5 linked regions of the Callithrix jacchus genome follow. The protein of the gene in region 5 interacts with the protein of the main gene of each other region in a biochemical or structural test. Links are inferred from orthologs where the notes say so. Each region holds a gene or a part of one and is shown on either strand. Other genes may lie near its edges. The genes, in order: PKP4, CLDN1, TJP3, TANC1 and PATJ.

Region 1 (4,097 bases), on a different chromosome or scaffold from region 5:
TGACATCAAGTCAAATAAGCACAGGTTAAGCATGGGTTAAACTCTGCTGTAATATGATATTGTTACATAATAAAAGTTTCCTGTTGGCATTTACAAACACCTCCCAATATCCTCCACATGCTAGTGGACACAAATTAAACCTCTAATTAGAAGATTCACTGATTATGCACATAGCTGAAAAACAACGTAGCAATCAAAAGATAAACCTTTCAGAGTGCAAAGTATTTTTTTTTTTTCTATTTTTTCCTTTCTGTTGAGTCCTTAACTAAAGGCTCCTATTTAATACTTTTCAATGTCCTTGATCTAGACAAAGTAGGTGTTGGAAGACAGCTGATTGGTCATACAACTGACTTATTTTACCGAAACTGCTACAAAATAACCAGGTGCAAAGAGATTTATCATAAATGCAACCTCCAAAGCAAATTGTATCAAATAAAAACACACATAGGATGCTTTTCAACACCCAGAAACACTTATTTCAGACATTAGTTGTTCTCATTCTCATGTTGCCATTTTCCATAACTGTTTCACAGACATCAAAACGAAGATACTCCTACAGCAATATACTGCATTCAAGAAGGGAAGCATTCTTCTACTTTCTCTTTTAAAATAAAAAGAATCTAAGCTCAATTCTAGCGAACCATTTTCTGTCAAAAATTTCCTTTCCTGTATTGAGAAAAACAAAATTTGACCAAAATGCATACTAACCATCATCGATTTTACACGTAAATAATTACTATTCTTTAAAAGTTGTAGGGCAGCATTTCTTTTAGTCAAACTCAGTAACAAAGAGAACTAAAACCTCCACTCATAAATTACATCTTGAAATACACATGATTGTGGTGTTCCCGTGTTACTTTCAATGGTAACTGACACACCCCGAATTTAACTGTACCAGACAGTTCTATCTGTCCCATCGCTGACCAAACACTGCTTCTCTGTTTCTATTCATTATGTATTATACGAGGTCTAAACAGCCCAGTATGACAAGGAAAAAAAATTACACTTCTTAGGACACCGAAGTGATGCATTCAAGATCTTTCTTGCAGTACATGGCCATCCATTAGCACAGTCATTTTCTGGTATAGCTAAAATATGTTGGCTGCAAGCTCATTACTCTCAAGAACCTTCAGGCCCCCTATTCCTGCTGGTTTTCAGAAAACCCTAGTAAAAACCAGGCACTATCTAATCCTTGCACACCAAACTTGCAAACAGGCTGTGCAATGATCAATAACCTTGGCTACACAGTCATCGGCCCCAAATTCACGGTCCTGAAGACCAATGCAGCAAAAACCCAGACGAAAGGCTAGCTGGAGCCCAAAAGAACTACCGTGCTTTCCCTCCGCCACCCTCTCTGCCGCAAGGAGGGAAGCAATGGGAGGAGAAGAGTGGAATGAGGCTCACCAGCTCTGAAGATGCTCCGGTGACCTCTGGCTGCGCGGCGAGAGCTGGGGAGGAAAGGCGCTAGTGTAGCCGCGGAGGGCCGTGTGGACTCAGCCCCTGGTGCATTCCTCGCATTCCTGCACAATCTGTCGCCAGCCCAGGAGCCGGCAGCGCGCGTCCCCCGCTGTACACACACACCTGACTACCGCTGCGCCCCGAGCGGCCACAGCCGCCGCGGCGCCTCCACTGCCTGCGCTCGCGGTTTGTCGCACTCAGCCAATACGCAGCCAAATCCCGGCCCCGCCGCTCGCTCTCCGGGTAGCGGTCCAGGGGAGAGGGCCGGCTGCCTCGGAGGCGGGCGGGGATACCAATCCACCAGGGGGGTGCCCCGGCTCCGCTTCAACTCCTGGCAGGGAGAGGAGGAAGAGGCGGCGCAGGAGGGCAGCGGCGAGGCTAGGGGCTGGGGATCCGAGAGGGGTGGAGCGTGAAAATCGGCGGCCAGCAGAGAGGGACGCACTGGGCAGAGGGGGTGGGCAGGACCGACTAGGAGTGCAGGACTTCGGGGGCAAACGCAAGAGCGCGCCGGCAGCATGGGCGTGGAAAGGCGGGAAAGGGGCCAAGGTACAGGATCTGGGGCTGGAAGGACAGACCGCTGGTCTCGAGGGCTGGGGAGGGCGGGCGCCCCGGGGTGTCGGGGGCGCAGGGCGGCACGCCGGGCGGGCGGCAGCGGGGAAGCCGCCGCGAGGGCGTCCAGCAGGGCTCCGCGCGGAGCTCAAGTTCGGGGCTGGGGGCTCCAAATCCGTAGAGCCCAGCGTGGAGAGGGGTCCTGCGCGGCTCGTAAGGGAGATCGAGGAGAGGAATCGCCGGAAAAAGCAAATGGAGGGTGAAACTTGTGTGCCTGCCGGGGGGAGGGGAGCAGCAGGCGAGTGCGGGCAGGAACACGAGGCGGGGCAGGAAAGCCGCCGAGGCGCTGGGGACGGGGCAGCGGGAGGGAGGCGCCGGCCTCCGGCGCGCAGGTCCCGGCCCCGGCGCATGTTCGGCAGGGCCGAGGGTCTCAACGGCAGGGGTCTCCGCGCCCTCCCGCGAGCCCACACACTTACTTTCCAGCTTAGGCAGCGGCCGTCGTCGCTCCAGGAATCACAGACATCGGCGCCGAGGGGTCGCCGCTGCGGCACCCGAAAAAAATTAAAAAAGTGCCGCGGCCGCGCGGCTGCCCGCCCCTCCCTCCCCCACCCGCCCCCTCCCCCGGAGCGGCTATCCCACCACCCCCGGCGGCGGCGGTGGCCAACTTGCCCCTCTACCCTTTGCCCATGGTGCCGCCTCCGCGGCCGGCGTCGACGCGGACTCAGTCCCGGAGCCCCCTCTACTGCCCAGAGGCCGCCGCCACCGCCGCCCGCCCCGCCGCCAGCCCGCCCGGCCAGACCCGGGCTCCCGGGAACGTCAGCACGCCGCCGTCCCCGGGCCTGCTTCCGCTACCCCATTGGCCAGAAGGAGAGGGCTGGTCCTCCCCATTGGCCCGGCCCTCATATTGAACGGACCAATAGGAGCTGCGGTTTCAGGTCGCCATAGAGACCGATGCTGTTCAGCGCGAGAGGGCCTGGAGAAGGTGGGTGTGAGGATGAGGGTGTCTCAAGTCGCGGGCGCGGGAGGGGGTGGCGGAGAGGAGGACAGGGAGATTCCCCAGTGCTGGCTCTGAAATCTGGGGCAGGTTTCACTTTGCCTTCCTGCCAGCCCCAACTGTGCCTGGAAGGGTTTGTCCCTGGCATCAAAGGTAGGAACAGCTGAGCCCTTAGACGTACCCCTGACAGTGAGAGCCAGGAGTGGGCGTTTCACTTTTCCTGCGTTTGGGGAGCCCCTGAGGCTAGGCTCTGACCTTTGACGTTTGTGCAGCTGCTGCTTCTCTAGGTGAGTTGCACCCCATCCCTTCCATCGCTCCTTCCTCCTGACGTCACTGAGCCACTTGAATCCTACTTGGGCTTGTTCTCCGCAACCACTCCCCCTTTCCTGTCTTGTTTCAACGTTTTGGGTCTTCAAACTCATATCCCTTCTCAAAGAAGACTCAAAGAGGATTTCCTTTGATGATATTTTGGTAAGGGAGAAGGTGACGGATTGTATGATAGATGCCAAAGCGTCACCACATAAGATAGCCTGTTCCCTGATTCTCAAAGCAAACCTCTAATCTTCCCGTGGGCAGATATCTATTAAACACATCTGTGTGTACATCCTGCACTACGAGCTTGACAGGTGCATGTTCTTTCACTTGAGGGGTTACAGGCTTGATAAAGAGACAGGAAACAGAAACAATCCTTTATGCCTTCTGATGATTTCACGAAAGAGTAAGAGAAATGGATTACAGTTGATGGATTTTGTTTTCTATTTTCCAGTTCTCTTTAAATTTGATATAGAAATCACCTGAGGCATGAAAATCAGTACACACAAAAATCTTGAGCTTTAATAATGTCTTCTACTTTCATTTAAAATAATCTTGTGCTAGTTTGTCAATACTAATTTTTTGTCAATAAATTTTATATTTAGATACCACCTTCTTAAAGTGAAATTTCATGAACATATTAGGCTTTAAAATATGATATTGCTCTAGCCTATAACCACCGATATTCTTATGTTCCTTTTTTTGGTCATTTTACTATTTTTCAACTAATCTTTTTAGTAAGGAGACTATGTACATATTACTGCACCTCACATTGGAGGGACCA
Region 2 (4,190 bases), on a different chromosome or scaffold from region 5:
TATTTTAATACTTCCAGTGCTAAAGCCTTGATAAAACCCTGCATCTGTACTCTAAGACATCAAGTGTGCTCTACTGGGAAAGACAGCAAGGTACAATTCCAGGAAACCAACAGCTAAGCTTTTCACCTAAAGACACTCAAGGAAATGCAGCTTTTTTATGAGGGATACAGCTTAAATATGCACACATAACCCTTTTCCTCTCTAGATGTAACAAAACTATACCAAAAGCAGCCAATGAATCACCACCCTAGATCTCTACAGCTAGTGGGCGTGAACACCACTGCTCAGGCAGAGGAATGGAGAAAAGTTTCCTGGGCTCCATCCAAAAGCATCCAGTGAGTCATGGCAGGTTAGGAGAGAGAACCTGTGAGTCAAGGGTCTCTCTTCCGAGAATTGGTTTTGAGAGAAAAGCCTAAGCCACACCTTGGATAAATTATGGCTTTCAGTAAAACAAAAGTGGATTCTGATCTGGAATTTAAAAAAAAAAAAAGGAAGACATCTCTAAATTGTGTGTGTGGGGGGATAGATATTTAGTCCTTTCACCACAGTTTTAAAAACTTTAATAACTATATTATCCAAAAAATGAAAGCAAAATGTTTTAACACATTATCATGTAAGGATGATCCATTTGAATACTTACAACATGGATCAATCTGATTTCATTTGTTTATTTAAGGAAGTTAAAGGAAAACCTATTTTAAGATGTCAAAAATGGACTATTTTGACCAGAGCAATGAAACTGAGAGTGAGACCTCTCTGGAATTGTTCTTAGAAACTTCTCCAGCCTCCAATTCCTTCATGTGGTACCTAAAATGCCCGACACCATTTCCTTAAATATACTTATCTTTCCATGGAGAAATTCAATAATTATTGCCAAATTTTTCACTTTATAAATACAAATACAACCTATGAGGGCAATAAGCAACACATAATTACCAAAATTATAGATTGGTTTTGGTTTAAAGAAGTCCTAATATGGAAACCTTCAAAAGCTGAAATAACACTCAAAACGACCATGCACATTGAGCAAATGCCACAGGTACTCAAGGTGTTTAAACAGATTTGGAACAGGCTTAATAACTAAACTATACAGCTTTTGACATACCCTATTAAAAGTTGTTCTTTGATAGGAGGTGAACAAAACAAGTTAAGTAAACTTGAACAATGGCAACACTTCTTACCCTTAGCACTCCATGGGGGCCAGTGGGCAGTCATGTTTATCTAGGCAAAGACTGAGGGACCTTTTCTTCAAGTTAGTTGAAGGGAATAACAAACATATGATATAAGACAATTAATGTGATTTCTCAAGGAAGATACTCCAGCAGTGAATCATTATTACCTAAGTAAATGGGTATTTAACGATTTTTCTGACAATACACTCAAAACCTTTAATTTAAAAAACATATGTAAAAACAAAGATCCTATTATCCTTCTTCCACCATGCTTAGAAATATGTCTCTCTATACAGTCCTTTCCAACTTGACAAGGGGTCACTGAACATCCATGGCACAGAAATTCCTTTGTGGAAGATGGAAACCTGAAAGACGCACCTCTTCTTTCTTTCTCACTGCCTCCTGCTCCCAGCTGACCTCTCATTTCATCAGCTGTGACTATTTTGCTGCATTTCCCTTCAGTGTCTTTACTTTCCCCTTTGTATTATGTTGGGCAGGTTATTTCGAACCTTTCTTGTCTGGCTTCTGCCACCTGCCACCAACCTTTTCATTCCAAGATAGCACTACACAATCAGACTCTACTGAAGACGTTGGGTCTAAAAGTTAAAACTTTGTGGGAAACTCAAGTGGCTTCTCCAAGGAGTCTTGCAAGAGGCCTCGCTGCACTAACTGAATCTTAAAAATGGAAAGAATCAACCTGAAGTATGAGTAGCAGACACTTAGATAGGATATTTCAAGTAGGGATGTAACTTTTGCTATGAAAAATCATAGTAAAGATTAAAAAATCGATCTAATACTTGAGGATTTTTAAGCTTGCACACCTGAGTAGTTACCAGGAGCATGTCTAGGAGAGGCCTAAGAGCTCAAGTTCAAGTCTGGCCTTCACTCTCTCAATCTCGACCCACCAGCATAGGAATTTCAGATGAAGCCACACCTAGTGTGGCAGAAAAGTGCCACCTAGGGAGTTAGAGGCAACACTAGAGCTTATGCCTGGGCATCCCTTGTCTCAAACCAGGATTCGCATTTGCTTATGACAGAGCACGTCATCAGAAGACTTGATCAACTCCAGACTGATAACCATGTAATCACACGACAGAATGAGCCCATAAGGGAACGGCAGGGGGACTGGGGCCTCTGGACGGCGGCTGTGAGGTGGGGGTGCACTCACTGTTCAGATTCAGCAAGGAGTCAAAGACTTTGCACTGGATCTGCCCGGTACTCTGCGACACGCAGGACATCCACAGCCCCTCGTACATGGCCTGGGCGGTCACGATGTTGTCTCCGGCATAGGAGTAAATCCTCCACTGGGGCAGGGCAGTGCTGACGATGGCGCCGATCCATCCCAGGAAGGCGAGAATGAAGCCTAGCAGCTGCAGCCCCGCGTTGGCCATGACTCGCTCGGGCGCCCGCGCTGGCTCGGGGTGGCAGGTGCAGAAGGCGGAGAGTTTGCAGGTGCGCAACGCGAACTCCCGAAGGTGACCCGGCCCCGCGGAGGAAGTTAAGGCGGGGAGTCCAGCTCGCTGCGCAGCCGCTGGAGAAGCTCTGGGTCCGGGTCGGGGTCCGGGTCCGGGGCGGCGCTGGAGTCTGGGTACTAGAAGCTGCGGTTGCTCCCGAGCTCAGGAACTGAGACGCCAAACCGCTGGGCGCCGCGATTTAAATCAGCTCCGCCCGCCTCAGCCCTGCAGCCGGGGAGCGCCCCCTGGCGGTTTCGGGGCGGCTCACCGGGAGGGGGCGGGGGGAACGCGCTGCGGGCGGTGTGGGGACCTCCCCGCAGGACCAGGCACCAGAGCTGCGTCGCTGCTCCTTTCTCTCGTGGATCTCCTCGCTCCTGTCAGGAGTTTCACGCTTTTCATTCACTCACTCCAATCATCCAAAAATTACTATGCACTGTACCTGTAAATCCTAAAAACAACGATGAAGAAATGAGCCCTCAAGAGCTGCGGTTTTAGCTTTAATACTTTTTCCCAATATCTTATTGAAAGACATGTCTACCCAACTCCGCATCTCCTCCCGCATCTCACATACATTTCTCTCTCCTTTGCTCAGCTTCCTCCCCTTTCTCCTTTCCCCTGCCCCCTTCTGTCAAGCTCTTTCCATCACTTGTCTCTCCGACGGCCCCCAGAGATCTATACACTCTACAGATTGGGAAGCTGAGACCCAGAGAGCAACATGATCCACGCGCGCGCGCGCACACACACACACACGAGCATATCAGTACTTGGCTCCCCTCCCAATCTGCTTTCCACCACATACCAAATTGACCCAAAAATATGCCCTTTGATCTGTGATTGTCCTTTTGATGTATTATTGCCCTTACGAAAATGCAGCCTAGCAGCCCTCGCCTGCCAAACACCAACCTCTTCCCCACAGCAGTTATGTCTTATAGCAGCAATTCATTATCAGAGGGACTTGGCCAGTGGTCCGCTCTCCCTCAAAGGTGTTAATTTTGTGAATTACCAAATGTTGTTTGTCACAGGTGAGGGCATGTAAACAGTGCTTCCCCAGTGGAGAAAAGACTGCGCTGGAGTTTAGGAGGGCCGGGCTTTTAGGAAGTTCTGGCTTTCACTGCAACTGGGTATGCCACCCCTCCCTTTTTGGTCTCTCTGGGATGTTTGTTTTCCTCTAGGGTCTCTAAAGCTTCCTTCTTTGCAGTTAGTCAGAAGTGCTGCTGTGGTTGGGAATAATTGAAATGTTTTTCCAACTGCTTTTTGTGTGTGGTGCGAGTGTGGTGGGAGGGGAAGCTTCTGTGGTTTTAGTAAAAGCAGAAGATCCTTAGAGGCAGAGATAAACATATGAAGGAGAAAAAAAGATCCACCCTTGTATACCATGGGCAGCTGCTAGTTAGTGACAGAGAAGGAAAAGCGCGAATGCTCAAGATGGGAATGGGAGGCAAGGCCAAGCCCTCCTGTCATTTCCACCTGGCGCTCTCTGGATGCCTTTTGGGACAGCTTATAGCTAAAGAACTTGGCCATACTAGGATTTGGGGACAAGCAATGAAGAATGTAAGACAGGAGCTAG
Region 3 (3,511 bases), on a different chromosome or scaffold from region 5:
TGCTGCTCCCACCCCGCTTCTGTGGCTTTATTTTGAAAATCTGCTGCACCTGGGTTGCTTTTCCGTTGCTGTTGTGGATGTTTTCTTTCCAGATGGAGTCTCGCCTCGCTCTGTCACCCGGGCTGGAGTGCAGTGGCGCAGACTCGGCTCACTGCAACCTCCCCGTCCTGGGTTCAAGCAATTCTCCTGCCTCAGCCTCCTGAGTAGCTGGGACTACAGGCACGCGCCACCACACACGGCTAATTTTTTTGTATTTTTAGTAGAGACGGGGTTTCACCATGATGGCCAGGCTGGTCTCGAACTCCTGACCTCAGGTGATCCGCCCGCCTCCTCCTCCCAAAGCGCTGGGATTGCAGGCATCAGCCACCACGACCAGCCAAAGAAGGTAAATTATTAAAAGACTGTTACCGCTATTGCTTTTTCCTTTCTAAAGGCTATATACGTGCCTTGAATCTTATTTCTGTGGAGACAAATTTATTTTTTTTTTTTTGAGATGGAGTTTCACTCTTGTTGCCCAGGCTGGAGTGCAATGGCGCGATCTCGGCTAACCGCAACCTCCGCCTCCTGGGTTCAGGCAATTCTCCTGCCTCAGCCTCCTGAGTAGCTGGAAATACAGGCACGTGCCACCGTGCCCAGCTAATTTTTTGTATTTTTAGTAGAGACGGGGTTTCACCATGTTGCCCAGGATGGTCTCGATCTCTTGACCTCGTGATCCACCCGCCTCGGCCTCCCAAAGTGCTGGGATTACAGGCTTGAGCCACCATGCCCGGCCCACAAGTAGATTTTTAAGGAGTGAAACCCCTTCCTGTCTCCTTCTGTCCCCTAAAATAACCCAAAAGTTTTCTGCTTTTTTTGTTTGTTTGTTTGTTTGTTTGACGTGGAGTTTTGCTCTTGTTGCCCAGGCTGGAGTGCAATGGCACGATCTCAGCTCACCGCAACCTCCGCCTCCTGGGTTTAACTGATTCTTCTGCCTCAGCCTCCTGAGTAGCTGGGATGACAGGCACCGGCCACTAGCTCATTTTTTGTATTTTTAGCAGAGATGGGGTTTCACCATGGGGGCCAGGCTGGTCTCACACTCCTGACCTCAGGAGATCCGCCCACCTCGGCCTCCCAAACCGTTGAGATTTCAAGTGTGAGCCACTGTGCCTGGCCCCAGAGTAGTAGTTTTGATAGAAGGAGAGTGGTTAGAAATTCCTTCTCTTTCTCTTCCTTTCTTTTTCCTTCTTTCTTTTCTTTCCTTCCTTTTCTCCTTCCTTCCCTCCCTCCTTCCCTCTCTCCCTCCCTTCTTTTCTTTCTCTCTCTGTCTGTCTCTCTTTCTGTCCTTCTCTTTCTTTTCTTTGTCAATCTGTGGCCCAGGCTGGAATGTAGTCACGCAGTCACAGCTCACTGTAGCCTCACCCTCCTGGCTCAGGCGATCTTCCTGCCTCAGCCTCCTGAGCGGCCGGGATAGCTGGGACTGCAGGGAGGCCCCACCACGCCCAGCTGTCTTTATAAATGTGATGGAGAGATGCAGTCTTGCTTTAGGGCCCAGGCTACTCTGGAACTCCTGGTCTCAGTGATCCTCCTTCCTCAGCCTCCCAAAGTGTTAGGATTATAGGCGTGAGCCTCCACTCTACAAGACTGCCTTTTAGAGGCCGGATGCTGGTGAACAGGTGCGCCACTGCCTCTGCGTGGAACCTTCCCAGGGCCCCCTCCCGCCCGGGCCCCACCTTCTCGAAGTACCACTCGTTCATAGGGCGGGTAGTGGCCCTGGCGGGTCAGGGCTGAGAGGTCCTCGCGGCTCCGCTGAGTGGTCTTCTTGGCCCCTCGACGGAGGCCCCGCAGCCGCCAGAACTCGGCCCGAGCATTGGAGCCCGCGGAGGAACCGGGCCCGGCTCCCACGGCCCTCTGGGCAGCTTCCAGGCTGGCCAGCTGCTCCGCCCTGTGGAGAAGAGGGGACAGTGCTGGGCACTGGGGTCAGCAGCACGATGGCCCCAAAGACGTCCTCATCCCCCCGGGAACCTGTGGACTGGCTACTTCATATGGCAAAAGGGACTTCGCAGATGAGATTATTATTTTATTATTATTTATTTTGGTTTTTTTGAGACAAAGTCTTGCTCTGTTACCCAGGCTGGAGTGCAGTGGCACAATCTCAGCTCACCGCAACCTCCGCCTCCTGGGTTCAAGTGATTCTCCTGCCTCAGCCTCCCGAGAAGCTGGGATTACAGGCGTGAGCTGCTGTGCCCGGCCCTTGTTTCTGGGCTTCTGTTACAGCAGAACAGGAAGCTCATACCAGCATCAACCAACTGGGTCCCACCCCGTGCCTTTTGTGGATGTCCTCAGAGTGAGCCAGCCACACTGCTCAGCAGGGCCAGCGTGCCCGTTTCTAACGGGGAGGCTGAGGCAGAGGCGGGAAGGTCCCCACCTGCTCTGGTTGGGAATGATGCCCCGCTCTTGCTCCCGCAGGTCACGACCCATGCGCACCGCCAGCCAGTGGCCTCCTCGCGCGTGGCTCTGCCCGGGGCCCGGGTACAGTGTGTCCAGCACGTGGAAGACGTCACCACGGGTGAAGCCCAGGCCGGACGGCGGGCTGGGCTCCAGCTCAAAGTGCGTGCGGATGTAGAAGGAGTCGCCCACGCGGGACTGCACCATTTTCCAGAAGACTGGGGAGAGGAGGCGGCCACGTGAGCTGTCTGGCTGCTGCCTGCTCATAGCCCTCCCCGCACAGTAGGCCTGGAGGGAGGGACCCTGCCCTGGGGAGACTTGGGACACTCTCCCTGCAGTGGTCAGGAGAGGGATGGACGGTGCAGAGATGCAGCTTTGATCGCACTCCGCTCACCATCAGGCCACACAGCCAGGGCTGCCCCAGCACACAGGCACACGCGCATCCACGCGCACTCACTGTCCTGCTTCCGCTGTGTCAGCAGCTCCATCTCCTCGCCTGGTGGCAGCGCCAGCAGGAACTGCACCGCCTCCTCCCGGGTCAGGTTCTGGAACGGCACGTCATTCACCTGCCGGGAAGCAGGGACAGCTGTACGCTGAGGCTCCGGTACCTCCTGGCTGTGCATGAGAGCCTAGACCTTCCTCTGGGCAAAACCCAGCCCCGGCTGCTTCCAGAGCTGCCATGGGCCCCGGAAGTTCCGGGAGGGTTTTCTGATGGGGGCATCACCCTGTGGCTGTGTGACATGTGACACAGCTGGTGGCATTATAAAGATACAGGGGGTTTTGACCTAGAAACGGGGGCACAGGCACTGCGCTGGCCTCTGGTAATCAAGTCTTTGTAGGTTGTTGATATCAAAATATGGGAACAGGTGTCATGGCATGCGGCTCGGTGGAGATTGTGTGAAGTGCTCGAAAGAGTTCAGACATAGTCACAGGGTCGTGACAGGGAAATACATAGGGACAAGGTGGGTGACAGATGCCTGCCATCAGGTCATGACAGGGACAATATAGGGATGCAGCCACCTCTCAGTGTCACAACAGGGACAGCCATATACAGACACAGCCACCTGCTCTCAGCGTCACGACAGGG
Region 4 (3,950 bases), on a different chromosome or scaffold from region 5:
GTAACAGAAGTTAAACTATCATAAAGATAAAATTAAAGCCATTTATTTTTCTAGGAGACTCTTGACCCAACTGAGACAAAATGTTTACAATTGGGTTAAAAATGTCTAATGGGAACATTGACATAAAGTTAACCTCCAGCTATGCTGGCAGGAGTCATTATAATATGGATTATCATTCAATTGGCCAAGGGATGCTGGTTTTAATGTTCCCAGAGAGATAAAGGATTAATCAGCAACTCAGAAGAGAATGTTGCCTAAAAATGGACAATTTAATTCAGACAGCTTCATTGTCTCTAAAATTATGCCCTCAATCACCCAGAGTCAAAAACTACTATGGCCCCAAATAAATTCTGTGTGGTTAAAGAGACAAAATGTTCTTTTTTCTACAGACTGTTATGAGAAGCAGAAAAAAGCTGACTATGAATCAGTTATGTCTTAGATCAAGGATGGGTATAAATTATGATAATTTGGGCATTCTGGTGGTTAAACCAAGAAAGCAGGAAAACCATTGCTTCCAAGTTCTAGCAACGCTTCAAACCAAAGGCTTGGTGCCAAAAAGTTAAGTTTGGGGCACCAAAGTGCAAGACAGGGTCAAAAAAAGGCACCTTAAATTTATTTGTGGACTTTTCCTGCCTCCACTAAAATCGATGACACTATTTCCCATCTCCTATTGTCAAATCACAACAGTCCGGAAGCCTGGACCAAGTTCACTTGACAGGTAACAGGAACACCCCTAGGAGGAAGTCCTGAAGGATATCAGATATCATACTTCCTTTACTGCCATTTACTTTTCATTTCAGAACCACCAGGATATATTTATGATCCTTTTTGACTGATACACACCAAGCATTCCGGCTGATATAAACTGCAGAAACTGGCATACTCTAGGGAAGGTCCCTTGTGAGGTCTTTAAGAAGCTTAGATAAGTAAAACATTCAGACTACTTCTACAATGAACACCTCTCAGCCGCTCATAAATTCTTTCATTCCCAGCAATCAAGAAGCAGCTGTTAAAATCCTGGAATCTTCCTAGCAGCAGATACGAAATACCTCCAGGCTGACCCGAGAAGCTTCACAACTGCTTTCTTCTCCTTCCCCTCCCCTGCCCCAGGAGTGCCAGCCTGGCAGGAATAAAGATGACCCAGGAAGGAAAAAAAGAGAGTAGCGGATCTGGTGAAAGCAGAGACGCAGACTCCCTTCATTTCCACTACAGAGAAATATCAACTCTCTGTGCCAACTAACCAGGTTTCTTCTTTACTCTCGCACCCCCACCCCTCCAAACACGCGTTAACTTCTGCAGTCTGGTACGTCTGGCATTTCCAGGGAAAACGATCTCAGCACTCCTGAGCCCTTTCCTCAAGATTCTGAACCAGGAACTTCCTTTCCGCGCCAGCCAGAGTTTGAGGTCCAACCCACGTCAAGACTCAGCTTCCATTTACCGTGTAATCTGTACGGACAACGCCGATTCTGGGGTCAAGTTCAAGATGAAGGTGCCCTCCTCATCTCCCACGTTAACTCCAGCAGGGAACAATGCCACTGAGAACGGTCCCAACACTAGAGGCACCGGGATCTGGGGCTGCCAGGAGCGGGCCGGAGGGGGCTGGGAGAAGGCTGTCGCCGAGCCCGGCGTCCTCCGCCCCTTGGCCGCATCGCCGGGTTTCTACCTGGCCAACGCCACATTTCCTCCCAGAGCTTTACACAATAAGTCCACTAAGTTTTAAGAACGCCGGTCCAGGGACCTTTCTGTCTGCAAACACGCCACACAATGCTTACAGCTTCCTTCCCAGCCAGCGTTCCGGAAAGCCGCCGCGCCGAAGCCTGGAGCCGAGCGCACACAGCGCCGCGCGCCCGCACCCTAAAGTCCTCCAGGAAGCGAGCGCCCCGATATCGTCCCCCTAAAATGACCACTCTGCATCCAAGAACAAGCGGGCTCATAATCTTGACCATTCTCGCTTTCCTCAGCGCCCCATCCCCAAAGAAAACCCTCAATGTCTAATCCTAACTCACCCCCACCCCCAATAAAGGAGTGTGGATACCGTCATCTCAGTGTTCCTGGAAGCAAAGCAGCAGATTTTCAGCCCTGACTGGGGCAATACGATGCCCCCGGCTTAAGTTCTCTCGGCAACTTCGCGACTGGCGCACCCCAACACTCCGAGGAGCGCCCAGGACCCTGCGGTGCCCAGCGCACCTCCCCTCCCGCCTCCCCCCGCACCAGGTACCAGGCATAGACCAGGCCCTTGCCAAGCCCAAAGGCTACAGAGAAGGCGGGAAAGGGGGTGAGCAGGCGCGCCGAGCGGGGGTGGTACCAAAACTCGAGCGTGCCCCGAGCGTTCCCTGCTCCCCCTACCCCGGTTCCACTGGAGGCCGGCTCGGTCCGGCGCAAGGGGGAGGGGGGGACCGCGCAGGGAAGGTGAGGACTCTCCAGAGACCAAGGCCCGGGGCGCCCAACATGTCTGTGCCTATCCCCGGAAAGCTCCCGGGTGTGCCCGGCGGAGGAGGGGGCGCTCCAGAAACTTTCCCACACGCCTTTCCTTCTCCCATCACCCTCTCCTCCGCGGTACCCTCTTCTCTCCTCACCCACGCAGCTGGCCCTGCCCGGGGCGTTCGGAAGCCCGCCGCGGCGCGCGGACGGCGGTAGTTACCTGCCGGGAAAGTTTCCAGCTCCTTGGCGCGCTTCCCCACTCCCAGGGCCGGGCCTCGGGGCGCGGTCAGCTCGGCGTTCCGCGGCTGCCTCTCCTCTGGCTACCGAGGCGCCCGCCGCTCCCGCAGCTGCCACAGCAAAGCCTGTGCTCCGGCCCGTCCCCCAGCCTCGCTCGGCCCACACCGGGGCCTCATTGGCAGCGCGAATCTCCGCCCTTGCGCGTGTTCCCGAAGGCACCTTCCTCTCGCGCGCCCGCCCCGGCCGCGCCTCCCGCGCCCCTCCCCGCCCCGGCCTGCGGCGGTTCCAAGGAGCCGCTGGGGAGCGGCGCGCGAACTTTCCGCGGGTCTCCGGCGTTGGGCCCCCTTGTTCCGCCTCTCAGCACTTCGTCCCGGCCGGAGGCTCCCTACCGTCCCTCGGGGCAGCGGGTCCCCCGGGGCTGAGCCTGGACCCCTCCGGGACCGTAATGAGATGGGCAATAGTCTTTTTTACCGCTTCTTCAAAATCAGTAAAGCGACCCAGCCTTGCCTCCTCGCTGCTTTTTTACCACAGCGGAGGAGGACGTATGGGAGCAATTAACCGAGTTGGGAGTTTCCTTGGACGCTTTAGGGTGGCTTGTGCTGCTTTCTTGGATTTTCTCTGCCTCACTTAACTAAACACAAACACACTTTCTGGGGCCAGAATGAGCTAAATGAGCTGGAAGGTCTAAGAAGGCATCTCTCTGGCTGCGTCTTTTTCTTTCCCGAAGGCTAATGGGGGGGCGTTCTGGAACCGGTAATTTCCCCGGCGTCTCTGGGGCCCGGGGTCTGGAGCTTCCTGCGACCGCTCTGGGCTGACCCGTGCGGTCTGCGCTCCATCCACAGAGGGCCAGCGTCATGCTTCTGTCGGAAGGAGGTGGGAGGGACGGAGGGGAGAGAACACACAAAGATGCTATTATTTTGTCGGTTGGTGGCAGTAAATTAAACTCCTGAGTTCCCCAAATGTTTTGTTATTCTCCAGCGGAGCAAAAACCAGGATAGATCCCAGGGATTCGAGTGTCCTGGGTTCTCCAGGATTCTCCCAGGAATCCCAGGCAGCTAAATTGGCCTAGAGGACTCAGCCCACTTCATACCCGAAGCTCTCTCAGCCACCCTTCGTTGATCTAGTTGATCAAGGAAGGATAAACTAGAACTATCGCTGCCTTGTGTGGCCAGCGGGAATTGTGCACGGGTCGCCCCACAGGTGTGTTGGAGCAGAGAACAGAGAAGTTGCTATAAACTGATTTATTGGCAACCCCTAACCTTGCTGTGGCAAACCCGCCTTTAAATACGATT
Region 5 (4,013 bases):
GCCAGTTAGTCAGAAGCCAGGGTAAAACAATCTAGGACTTGTGACTGGCATCAGAAGTGGGACCAGTCTTAATGGGATCTGACACTATCCCCAGGTAGATAGTGTCAGAATCGAACTGGAAGATGCTCAGCTATTGTTCGATGCAGAACTGATTGGCCCACACATTTATTTGATCACAGAAGTCTTCAGTGTTGATTGTGATGGCGTGAGAGCAGAGGAAAAAGTTTTCTTTTCTTCTTACCCCTAATAGGATCTGGACTAGTAAGGGCAAATCTCTTCAGAACTCATTTTATAAGTTCTGTCCATAAGTATCTTCCACTTCCATATTTATTAACTTTCTTATTATCTTTGTGAAAGTTACAGACACCAGGACAAAATCACTTTTTGTCACACCCAAACAAACTAGAGACGGAGAAAGTGAGGGATAAGGCTCATGCTTGCATGTCTGAGATAAAGATCTCTCAAGAACTTTAAAATAACTCCACAAGAAATTCTTTCTTTAGGAATGCAGTAATTCAGATAAGATAAGATAATCTTTTTCTTTTCTTTTCTTTTCTTTTTTTTTTTTTTTTTGAGACAGGGTTCTTGCTCTGTCACCCAGGCTGGAGTGTGGTGGTACAACCACAGCTCACTGCAGCCTCCATCTCCTGGGCTCAAGCAATCCTCCTGCCTCAACCTCCTGACATACCTGGCCATTGAAAAAGTGTTTTCTGTCAAGGCAGCCATGTTGCACAGGCTGGTCTCCAACTCTTGGTCTCAAGGGATCCTCCTGCCTAAGCCTCCTAAGTAGCTGAGATAACAGGCATGAGGCAGGGCACCAGAACTGTTAAGACACTCTCCATAACACCTGCCCAGTAATGGCATCTTCACCAATGGTCAACTATGGCTTTGAGTCTCTAAAACCAATAAATGGTTGTGCATCTCAGGCTATAATTCTCATTTCTCATTCACAAATAAATTCAACATATTTGGAGTGTTCTGTTGTTGTTTGTTAACATCTTAAAGGCCATTCGGGACCCTAAAAAAATCAAAGCTCACTTTAGCTAAAAGGCTCAATCTCACCTAACATTTTTCTAATGCTGCAAACAGAGTTAAGTTTGTTTTGTTTGTTCTTGCTGCCCAGGCTGGAGGGCAGTGGCGGGATCTTGGCTCACTGCAACCTCCGCCTCCAGGGTTCAGCGATTCTCCTGCATCAGCCTCCAGAGTAGCTGGGACTACAGATACGCACCACGCCCAGCTAATTTTTGTATTTTTAGTAGAGACAGGGTTTGTGTTGGCCAAGATGTTCTCGATATCCTGACCTTGTGATCTGCCCGCCTCTGACTTCCAAAGTGCTGGAATTACAGGCTTGAGCCACCGCACAGGGCCTGTTGCTGTTTTTTGAGATGGAGTTTCTCTCTGGTCGCCCAGACTGGAGTGTAATGGAGCAATCTCAGCTCACCACAACCTCAGCCTCCTGCCTCAGCCTGCCGAGTAGCTGAGATTACGGGCGCCCACCAACACGCCCAGCTAATTTTTGTACTTTTAGTAGAGACAGGGTATCACCATAGTGGCCAGGCTACTCTGGAACTCTTGACCTCAGGTGATCCACCAGCCTCAGCCTTCCAAAGTGTTGGGATTCCAGGCGTGAAGATTTACGTTTTTAACTGCTGACCCCACCCCCACTCCTTTCAGATAGATGTGTGCAAATTAATTGGCAGCCACTAGGAACTCAGCCCAAAATGTGGTAGTATCATCCTCAGTGGAACGGACATAGTCCTTCTGGGTTTCCAAAGGCTTCTTCATTCACTTAAGAAACACTTGTCGAGCACTTACCAATAGCGAGACCCTAAATGCAGTCGAGAAATAAGGCCCAGAAGGGGGCACCCTCCAAATGGCAGAGGCGAGCCAACAAACAACAAACTCGAATCCAAAGTGACAAGAGCCACCTGGAAATATGACAAAGTGCCAGGTGAAGGGTGTTTGTTCACTTAATTTGGCCGGTGTACGGGATGGATGGGGCGATTTGGAGGTTGGGAGTCATCTGAAAATGCTTTCCTGAGCTTGATTTAAAAGCAGGAATCCAAGAATTCCCCTAAGGCCGGAAGCACTTTCCAACACAACCTCCCCATCTACGTAGCAGGGCTGGCAGAGCCCAGGGCTTGAGCACTGGCTTTGGGGAACCTCCAAGGCCCGGCCCAAGTCGCCCCCTCAGCCCGGCTCTGAGCACCCCCTCCTCTTTGTCCCCTCACCCCCGTTCCTTCCTTCCACGGCCACCAATGGAGGGAAAGACTCCGCCCAGCTCTGGGAGCGAAACACAGGCACCGATCTGGGCGCAAAATCGGATCCGCGCCACCCCCGAACACCAGTGGGCCGAGATTCGAGGCCCGAAAGGCCTGGGGAGGCGGGGCGGGCGGGGCGGCGCGGCGGGGCCCCTACCCGCGGCCTCAGCGAGCCCAGCGCGGCAGGACTGGGGTCACCCGGGCCCGACGCAGGAGGAAGGCACCCCCGCCCCGCCTCCCGGGCCAGTGCGGACGCACGCTGCGAACGCCCCATCCCCTCCGAGGGACCTCCGAGCGCCCAGCGGCGCCCTCCCCCTCCGGCTCCCACCCGCTCCAGCGGGCGGGCGGAGAGCGCGCGGGGGCAGGGCAGGCAGGCCGGGGAAGCCCACTAGGAAGCTGGCCCCCGCTGGCCTCTAGGCGCGGGGATCCCCAGGGACAAGCGCGCACCGCACAGCCGGGACCCCACGCTTTACCTGGTGTGCCGGAGGAGCAGGTGGGAGCCCCGACCCAGCCGGCTCGGTGTCGGCCGTACCTCACCTGGGCGGAAGTGAGAGGCCCAGGGTGACCGCGCCTCACCTGGCAGGCCCTCCCCTCGCCCCGACTCTCCCCGCCCGGGGCGGGGCGCCGGGGTGGCGCGGGGGGCGGGCGAGGGAGCCGGGGGCCGCGGGAGGCAGGCTGCAGCCGGGAGGGCGGTTGCCCTAGCTGTTTAGTGCAGGTGAATTCCGACCCGGCGCGGGATGGCCAAGGGCCTGAGAAGAGTGGGCTATGGGGGCCAGGTGGGCGGATGAGACCCCGCGTGGTAGGGGCAGCTGGCACTGACAGGAAGGGAAATCCGGACCGACCGGTGTGGTTGGAGGCATGCTTGGAAAGCGAGACCCAAGATCAAGGAAATTGAGGAGTATATCGATGAAAGCGTTGGGTCAATCTGCTTAGCACTTGCCTTTTTGCTCTTTCCTGTTCCCTCATCCCTCCTTTGTTTTCTATATCCGCTGACACAAAATAAAATATTCTAAAACGTGTAAATGTGGGAGCATTATTTTCTTCTCCTTTAGTGGAAGAAAGAAACACATCCAGCAGTATTTGCCTGCCCTGTGCTGGCTGCTAGATTATACCTTATTATCTCATTTACTCTCTGAAGAAACTGATGAGGAAACCGTGCACCAGGTAGGTTGGGCCAAAGTTTGGAACACAGGCAAGGCATTTTGACTTTAACTACAGTGACGATTTCACTATACATTAATTTTTTTTATTTGTGATGTCACAGCTTCGAGAAAAATATGCCCCGATGGTATTCTTCTACTCCCTTTAATAACTTTAGACTTTTTTTTTAATTTTTTTTTTTTTTAAAGACGGGTTTTCACCGTATTGGTCAGGCTGGTCTTGAACTCCGACCTCAGGTGACTCTCCCGCCTTGGCCTCCAAAGTGCTTGCATTACAGGCCTGAGCCACCAAGCCTGGCCAACTTTAGACTTTTGATGATAGGGGTTTCTAATACAGTCCACATATTAACAATAAAGAGAATCAATCTTCAGGTATCTTATAGAGTACATACAGTAATAGTTAAACACTGTGGTTGACTCTGGGAAGATGTGTAAAATGGCATCCCTGTTCCCAGGAAGATGAGGAATAGGTACAAAACAACTGCAACATAAAGACTTAAAATCATACACTTGGGAGCTGGGCACGGTGGCTCAAGCCTGTAATCCCAGCACTTTGGGAGGCCGAGGCGGGTGGATCACGAGATCAAGAGAT

Evidence for each region.
Region 1: the proteins of PATJ (region 5) and PKP4 interact in a test that uses a peptide from one of them, tested with the Homo sapiens proteins (2 studies listed by IntAct, with this or other methods). The link is inferred for Callithrix jacchus from reciprocal best matches to the Homo sapiens genes PATJ and PKP4.
Region 2: the proteins of PATJ (region 5) and CLDN1 form a complex in vitro, tested with the Homo sapiens proteins (2 studies listed by BioGRID and IntAct, with this or other methods). The link is inferred for Callithrix jacchus from reciprocal best matches to the Homo sapiens genes PATJ and CLDN1.
Region 3: the proteins of PATJ (region 5) and TJP3 form a complex in vitro, tested with the Homo sapiens proteins (2 studies listed by BioGRID and IntAct, with this or other methods). The link is inferred for Callithrix jacchus from reciprocal best matches to the Homo sapiens genes PATJ and TJP3.
Region 4: the proteins of PATJ (region 5) and TANC1 interact in a test that uses a peptide from one of them, tested with the Homo sapiens proteins (2 studies listed by IntAct, with this or other methods). The link is inferred for Callithrix jacchus from reciprocal best matches to the Homo sapiens genes PATJ and TANC1.

Annotation. Positions count from the first base shown.
Region 1 is NC_133507.1:71,436,690-71,440,786, forward strand, and holds the start of PKP4 (plakophilin-4), read right to left. Parts: upstream 2,805-4,097; 5' UTR 2,484-2,804; intron 2,005-2,483; exon of another isoform or gene 1,868-2,004; intron 1,814-1,867; exon of another isoform or gene 1,405-1,813; intron 1-1,404. Other genes in the region: CCDC148 (coiled-coil domain-containing protein 148), read left to right, coding at 2,959-2,989, 3,274-3,288. UniProt on the Homo sapiens protein: Plays a role as a regulator of Rho activity during cytokinesis. May play a role in junctional plaques.
Region 2 is NC_133516.1:19,268,505-19,272,694, forward strand, and holds the start of CLDN1 (claudin-1), read right to left. Parts: upstream 2,803-4,190; 5' UTR 2,564-2,802; coding exon 2,341-2,563; intron 1-2,340.
Region 3 is NC_133523.1:3,510,173-3,513,683, reverse strand, and holds part of TJP3 (tight junction protein ZO-3), read right to left. Parts: intron 2,991-3,511; coding exon 2,882-2,990; intron 2,643-2,881; coding exon 2,405-2,642; intron 1,922-2,404; coding exon 1,710-1,921; intron 1-1,709. UniProt on the Homo sapiens protein: TJP1, TJP2, and TJP3 are closely related scaffolding proteins that link tight junction (TJ) transmembrane proteins such as claudins, junctional adhesion molecules, and occludin to the actin cytoskeleton.
Region 4 is NC_133507.1:70,955,625-70,959,574, forward strand, and holds the start of TANC1 (protein TANC1), read right to left. Parts: upstream 2,805-3,950; 5' UTR 2,642-2,804; intron 2,257-2,641; exon of another isoform or gene 2,036-2,256; intron 1,836-2,035; exon of another isoform or gene 1,439-1,835; intron 1-1,438. UniProt on the Homo sapiens protein: May be a scaffold component in the postsynaptic density.
Region 5 is NC_133508.1:98,823,902-98,827,914, reverse strand, and holds the start of PATJ (inaD-like protein), read right to left. Parts: upstream 2,811-4,013; 5' UTR 2,735-2,810; intron 1-2,734.